2 linked regions of the Oryctolagus cuniculus genome follow. The protein of the gene in region 2 purifies or fractionates together with the protein of the main gene of each other region. This does not show direct contact. Links are inferred from orthologs where the notes say so. Each region holds a gene or a part of one and is shown on either strand. Other genes may lie near its edges.

Region 1 (4,065 bases), on a different chromosome or scaffold from region 2:
CCAGCTCTGGTTGTTACAGCCATTTGGTGTAGTGAACCAATAGATAGACGATCTCTCTCTCTCTCCCTCTCTCTCACTCTCTCCCTTTCAAATAAATAAGTCTTTTATAAAACACAAATGCCATGAAATTCATTCTGACAATGACCACTGACATAGGCACCTGCGTATAGATAAAATTCTTCTGGAGAATTGGTTATCTGATTTTCAGGGGCCAGGAAGTTGTTTTCAGCTTGGATAACAGGCACATGTCTAGAAAATCTCCAACTATTTCAAGGCTAAATATTATACTTTTAAACAATCCATGAGTTAGAAAAGAAATCCAAAGAAATTTGGGTACTACTGTGAATTAAAAGGAAAACAAAACACATCAAAATTCTGAAATGCTGCTAAAAGCAGTACTCAATGCCTAGAAGGAATAGAGGAGCAGGAGGTGAGAAGTTAAAAGGGTGTATGGAGTATTTTGGAGGTAATGGGTATACATTAGTAGCATGATTGTGGTGATACTTTTCACCTTTGTATGCATGTAATATACATGTCTTTATCAAATTATACCTTTGAAGTATGTATCTTTTTTGTGTATTAATTTTACCGCATTGAAATGACTTTAAACAGATATGTGGCCAGTGGCCATATGATCGGCCAGTACAGCTCAAGTGCAACCACCAAGAGATTACTAAAGGAATGGATAATTGACAAACTAGGAAAGGAATAGGCTAAACCTTCTACGCCATGGCTCCAGCCCCAAATTAAACTTTTTAAAATTACTTAGTTCATCTAAAGGAAGTCAAGAAAGTTGAGAAAAGTGAACCATTGCTGCAAATAGAAAAACAACTAGAAAGATAAGTAAATTTAATTCCAATCTGATCAATAGTTACATTAAGTGAAAATAAATCAAATACGAGACTACATAAAAAATAAGAGACTAGATAAAAAAAAAAAAAAACACACTGCTTACAACAAACATGCCAAGAGTTAGGACACTGAAAATACAAGGATGAAAAAAAGGTGCAGAAGTTAATATCTTGCAAAGTAGAAATTAAATAAATATAATCAAAACTAAAATGAGACATAGACAATGCACACGATGTGGCATAATTATGTGCCTTTCCTAGAAGCTAAGAAAGAAAAGAAGTAGTGCTATAGCTCAACTAACAACCTTGACATGAGTGACATAAGATCCGTTAATCAAGAGACAATTATGTTATATAAAAATATCGAATTGAATGCCAGAAAAGATAGCCTTCCGTATATAAAGTGGTACGAGGAGGAGGACTGGGACGTGAGGTGTAGGGGGACCGCCGTCCCGCGCTCCACTGGTAAATGACTGTGCTGTCTCCTTCTCGCTTAGCCAGAAGATCTGGTGAAACCATTCCTTGCATCCAACAAGAAAAAGCACTATCGCAAGTAATCTATTCCATGCCCACCCTTTGTTATTTTCCCAGGTTGAAAAAGAACATGTGCAGGGAGACTCAGATGTAAAAGAGTATGTCAACATTATCCTAAAATCGCCAGTCTCTGACCAAGGATTATTCTAGAACTTTCCTTACACAGCCTGGGCTTCTATAGCTGAATCATTAACTGGGTGCTTTTGGTGTCTCCTCATGAATGGCATCCATCTGCCCACTTAGGTCCCTCCTGAATGACTTTAGCAATTTTTATCACTTTTCCTATGTATTTGTTAATTTATCTAATTGTAATGGATTCACTTCCTTAAACAACCTACATAAATAAAAGAACCATAAAAGAGCATTTTGTATTATTAGCACAAAGGAAAGAGCAATGCTTGTGTTATAAAAAAGGAACTGTGAAATTAAAAGAAAATTGTGACATTATTTCTCGGTTCTCGCCAGATGCTGTCACACTTCTTTGTTTTGTTTTAACAAGGAAAATTCGCGTGTTTTGAGACATAATGTGATGGCGTAGCATATGACACAGTGATGACAATGGGCTCTCCCCTCTGATGTCAGAGAGGTAGCAAGAGGGGAACTTCTCACTATGTCACCCATGGTCGTCGAACAGTGTGCCCTACCCAGCACCCCAGTTCCTACGTTGTTGTGGGGACACACATGTTAGGGGTCAACGCATTAGCTCCCAGCACAGGCATCAGGAACTTGACTAAATACTGCCCCCACGATTCCAGCACGCAGGAAACAGCCGCGGACTAAGAACCAAAGAGAGCCTGGGTAGGTCTCCGTTGGCACCACTTCCTGCAGCCCATTGTGTCCGGACGGAGCGTGACAGCAGTAACCATCACTTCTCTGCCCTCCAAAGCTCCTCTGGAAATCCCAGGCTCACCTCAGCGTCCACAAGGTCTGAGCGCTCCGGCCGCCAGGGTCAACCTAACACAGTCTGCAAGAGAGTGCCTTCCACGCTGCTCCTGGAAGGAAGAGGAAGTGACAGTGAGTGGAAGCGGCTGCCAATGCCGACGGTGAGCCCCTCCCTTTGCTGATCTGGCCAGAAGCCCACAGCCATTATGGAGAAAATACCTCCAGCTGTGAGTCAGCCGCTGGGGGCAGCCTCCCAGAAGCAGGCGACTGGAGGGGGTGGGGGGGGGGGGCTCTTCCTTTACCATCTGGAAAGCAGTTGGTGTGGCGGAAGGAGCAGGGTGTGCATTCACATTTTGGCTGTGCCCTTCACTTACTGCGGGATGTACAAGCTTCCTTTACTCCGCGGGGCCCGCTCTTTCCACGTGGAAATGACTCCTAGGTAAGGCTGGTGCCGGGCGGTGGGCCGCAGACATAGACACCATGACAGCGCGCAGGTGCTTCCTACGCGCCAGTGGCCTTGCTCACGGTGCCCCTGGGGCAGCTCCTGGCTGCCGTCTTCCTCAAGCTACTGGGTAGGGTTGGCAGACAGGCAGTTCAGCCTGGCTCACCCAGCCCTGGGACCCGCCCAGATCTCTGCGAGCCAGAACCCCAGGACTCTCCCTCCTCTCAACCTTTGCCCAGGTCACTGCCACCCCTGCCAGGAAAGTCCCTCCCCACCCCGGGGCTCACCCGCGTGTGCTCTCACCACTTCTGGGGCATTTGTTTCTCAACGCCTGGCATTGAGATCTGTCGTGCATTAATAGTGTTATTCTATGGAAAACACTCCCCTCCCATCTTCTCCCCACCCCACCCCCCAAATCCCACCTTCCTACAAATAAATTAAAAGAAAAAAAGCAGTAAATTTGTCCCCACATTTATTTGTGTATTTTTAGTACCAATTTTTTAAATATTTATTTATTTGAAAGGAAGAGTTACAGAGAAGCAGAGGCAGAGAGAGAGAAAGAGAGAGATCTTCCATCTGCTGGTTCACTCCCTAAATGGCTGCAATGGCCAGAGCTGGGCCGACCTGAAGCCAGGAGCCAGGAGCTTCTTCTGGGTCTCCCACATGGGTGCAGGGGCCCAAGGACTTGGGCCATCCTCCACTGCTTTCCCAGGCCATAGCAGAGAGCTGGATTGGAAGTGGAGCAGCCGGGACTCGAACTGGAGCACATATGGGATGCCGGCACTACAGATGGCGGCTTTACCCACTATGCCACAGCACCGCTCACAGTACTGATTTTAAAAGTGAAAGCCTCTCCTGTGGCTTTCTCTCTCTCTCTCTCTCTCTCTCTCTCTCTTTTTTTAAGATGTATTCATTTATTTGAGAGGCAGAATTACGGAGAGAGCGGGAAACAGAGAGAGGACTTCCATCCATTGATTCACTCTGCAGATGGTCACAACAGCCAGAGCCGATCCAAAGCCAGGAGCCAGGAGCTTCTTCCAGGTCTCACACATGGGGGCAGGGGCACAAGCACTTGGCCATCTTCTACTGCTTTCCCAGGCCATTAGGAGGGAACTGGTTCAGAAGTGGGGCAGCTGGGACTTGAAGCAGTGCCCACATGGAATGCCGGCACTGCAGGTGGAGGCTTAACCTACTATTCGATGGCGTCAGCCCCCCCCCCCGGGGGGGGGCTTTTTAATACTTCCTTGAGGCCACCACTGTTCCTGTTTTCATTGTTTGTTTCAGGCTTTTTCTCTAGGCTAATAAAGCTTTGACAATTTTTGTTCTGTCACTTTCCAGCTGTGTGACCTTCTGCAA
Region 2 (3,561 bases):
ATGGAACCGCTCACGCCGCAGGCTACCCGAAGCCCTCGAGGGACACCCGAGGACCGGGTGAGCTTACTGGCCGGGGCATGGAGAGAGGGCACGGCCTACTTCTCACAGAATATTCATTCTCTTGTACTTCATGGTTTTGGTTTTGGGTATCATGATCATACATTAATTACTAAAAATATAAGTGAAGCTTCACAAATAAATAAAATGGCTCTAGGCAGTGGTACTCTCTGTCCTGTGTTTAAAGCTCCAACTCGTGAGGCTGGAATTGACCAATTCCCCGACTCCGCCAGGGCTACGGCCTGCACATCCCAAGCACAGAAGGCTGCCCCGAGCACGGGGCAGACGCGGCACCCTGAGCAGCCCCTCCCTGCTGTCTGGTCCCAAGCACTGTGACCGATCATTTGGCAAACAAACGACGCTCTTACGGATACAGCTGACGCTCTCAGGCTGGGGCCGCGGGGAGATCTGAGTCTCATAGGCGACTTTGCTGTTGTCAAAGAGAAAAACAAGATCCATGTCCAGGGTGCGGCCTTCATTTAGCTGCAAAAAGACAAGAACAGAATGCGATGTCACAGATCGAAGCCTTTCCCCTCCACCTGCTAACGGCGAGGCTGTCGGGGCACCTCCTGCTGCTCCCCTGGCACAGCCTCCAGAAGCCTCCGCTGATGCCAGCCTGCACCTGTCCGAGCGCGTGCTGACCACAATGTGTTACCTTCTAGCTCCCTGGTGGTCTTTCCCGTGCAGCCTGCAAGTTCACTGAGCATTGCTCTATGCAAATGACTCTTTCTCAAGCTTTGCTTTGCTTGACAGGAAGTTGGGGGAGAACAGGAGTGCACACAGGCGCGCTCCCTCTTCCCACTTCCATAGGTTTGCTTCCCCAACGTCTACAGCAGCTGGGGCTGCGCAAGGCCAAAGCTGGGGGCTGGGGACTCTCAATCCAGGTCTCCTGTGCAGGTGGCAGGAAGCTGGACTTGAGCTGCAGCCAGGACTCAAACCCAGGTACTCAAACATGGGACACAGGCACCTTAACCGGTGTTAGGCGGTGTTACCCAGCGTCTTCACCAGCAGGCCAAACGTCTCACCCGCACCCACATGCGTCTACTTCATCTCTGTTGTTGGCTTATGACACACCACACCTTCCAACACTGTGGTGTGTGACACAGCCTCGCACAGACGTAGTCATAGATAGTGCAGGCTGACCCCGAGAAAGAAAGCATCGTTTTGGTCAGAACGGCACAGAAGGCCGCTCCCAGGGGTCTGGAAGCGACACGGGAGGCATGCAGCGATTCGGGCCGCACGGGGGAGCCACACTTAAAGAACAAGGCAGCCCGCGTGACAAAGCAGCCGCGATCTGAAAGTGAGAGGTGCTTCCCCGGGAAGGTCTGCGGGCAGCCGGGGGCTCACCTTGCCGTCAGAAATGCACTGCGTGGCGGGCTTGTCGGGGATCAAGGCCAGACCTGCCTCCTGCAGGAGCTCCTGGTCCTGTTCGGAGATGCCCGTGTCGCTCTGGATTCTGGCCTTTAAGCTCTGCAGGCTCTCGTCCTCTGACACTGGGTAGCTGTGAACGGTGCCCGTGACCATGTTCAGGATGTGAACCAGCTGCAACACAACCCGGATGTTACTGGAAAAAACTGGTCTCCACGGATGCCCATGTTTGCCTAGACCCTCTGCTACTCCCAAGGCTGCCCGGTGCAGAGCGCGGGTCTCTGTGAGGAAGGGGAGCCGGGGCCCCTGTTTCATCTCTTCTCATGTTTAATAGTCCTGTCTGTCCACAGCAAAACCCTTAACAGCGATGTCCATCAGTCAGCACAGGGGTTCTGCCCTCTCCCCTGTGTACAGCCCTCTCACAGGAACCTAAACATCCCCAGGGGCCAGCCCACCTTGACTGGCCTTGCCCTGGGCATTCTTTTGCTTCCGAGCTACTGCGTCCCACTGCGGGCCCGGCCGTGGCCTCGGGGCGGGTGCGGCTCTGCGCTCACCTTTAGGTTTAAGATGTCGTCCAGGGCCTTGAAGCAGCCGTTGGGCCCGTACGTGGGATCCGTGCCCCTCTGCCGGGGATGCCACATCAGCATCAGCTGCAGCCACTTTTCCAGGCGCTGGGCTAGTATGCTGCAAAGGATGAGGGTGTCGGGGGAGAGCCACGGCCAGCGCCAGCCGCCTCTGTGTGCAGGTTACAACGGCAAGCCTGGAGCAGCCCTTAGCCCAGGAAGGTGCTCATACCCCATTATCAGACTGTCGGGGTTTGATTCGCGGCTCTGGCCTCCAGCTCCGGCTTCCTACCAGTGGCACACCCTGCAGAACTGCACTCAGGTCCCTGCCACCCACATGAGAGACTTGGATTGAGTTTCCAGTTCCTGGCTTCAGCCCTGGCTGCTGCGGGCATTTGGGGAGTGAACCAGTGGATGTGGGCTCTCTCATATAAATAAAAACATTCTAAAGGAATTGGCTACATCTTACTACTACATAGATGGCAGCCAATAAACAATTACCGAAAATGAAACTGGATTAAGCAGAGAGCAAAAGCACAAACATTTCCAAGCAATTTAATTACTTAGGTGCGTGTTCCATCTCCCCTGCCCTGCTAACTCAGCCCCCAAATCAACCACTGTCTACAATCTGATTCCTGAGACCAGACCGCAATGCCACTCACACTGCAAAGACTGGCTTGTCGACTACGACACAGTACTAGGCCACAGGAGTGCAAACAGAATGAGCTGTGAGTCCCCACCTTGAAAAGAGTTATCACTGGACAGGAGTCAAACCTGGTGCAAAGCCAGAAGGAACACAAGGCAGAAGTACGAGTGGTATTAAGAAGCACCAGGAAACGATTCTGTGAACCTGCAAAACAGGACTTCTAGGGAGATGAGGGAGGGGAATACATTCTAAACCGACGACTGGAGAGATGATGCCAAATGTTTAGTCCCAGGGTGATATGCTGATAATCTATTTAGAAGTTATCAGGGATAGACGTTCTGTACAGAGTTGTTAAGATGCCACTTCTCTGCTCCTGATCCCAGCTTCCTGCTAAACGCACACCCCAGGAGGCAACAGGGGATGGCTCAAGTACTTGATTCCCTGCCACACACGTGGGAGACAAGGATTCAGTTCCAAGCTCCTGGCTTTGGACTGGCCCAGCCTTGGCTATTACAGGCATTTGAGGAGTGAACCAGCAGGTGGAAGATCTCCTGTTTGTGTTTCTCTCTGCTTTTCCGATAAAAATGAATACTTTTTTTTTTTAAGTTATCCGATGTCATCTCAGACTTGTATTTCCTTCTTTTTTTTTTTTTTCAAACTTGTATTTCTAAAAGAAGGAAGTAAAATAGGTAGAAGAATAAACCACTGTGTTTACCTGTTAAGATTGTTGGGGTAGGGTAAAGAGCTGGAAAACTTCACTGCACCGTTCAAGTCTTCACTAACGACAATGTCCATCTCACTCTTCTGCCGGACTTTCGAGTGCCTGCAAACGTGCAATCCCTCACGTCACTCAGTGGCCAAGGGTCAGCTCACCTTCGTCAACTGTAACTATGCAAGAAACGCACGCCCCCACCCCCGAGATGGGCA

The links.
Region 1: the proteins of IKBKB (region 2) and CASP8 purify together in Homo sapiens (affinity purification with western blotting; 3 studies listed by BioGRID and IntAct, with this or other methods). This does not show direct contact. The link is inferred for Oryctolagus cuniculus from reciprocal best matches to the Homo sapiens genes IKBKB and CASP8.

What each region holds. Positions count from the first base shown.
Region 1 is NC_091434.1:38,736,298-38,740,362, forward strand, and holds the start of CASP8 (caspase-8), read right to left. Parts: upstream 2,860-4,065; 5' UTR 2,642-2,859; intron 2,429-2,641; exon of another isoform or gene 2,378-2,428; 5' UTR 2,296-2,377; exon of another isoform or gene 2,125-2,295; intron 1-2,124. UniProt on the Homo sapiens protein: Thiol protease that plays a key role in programmed cell death by acting as a molecular switch for apoptosis, necroptosis and pyroptosis, and is required to prevent tissue damage during embryonic development and adulthood.
Region 2 is NC_091433.1:92,503,103-92,506,663, reverse strand, and holds part of IKBKB (inhibitor of nuclear factor kappa-B kinase subunit beta), read right to left. Parts: intron 3,458-3,561; coding exon 3,350-3,457; intron 2,110-3,349; coding exon 1,980-2,109; intron 1,600-1,979; coding exon 1,405-1,599; intron 541-1,404; coding exon 426-540; intron 1-425.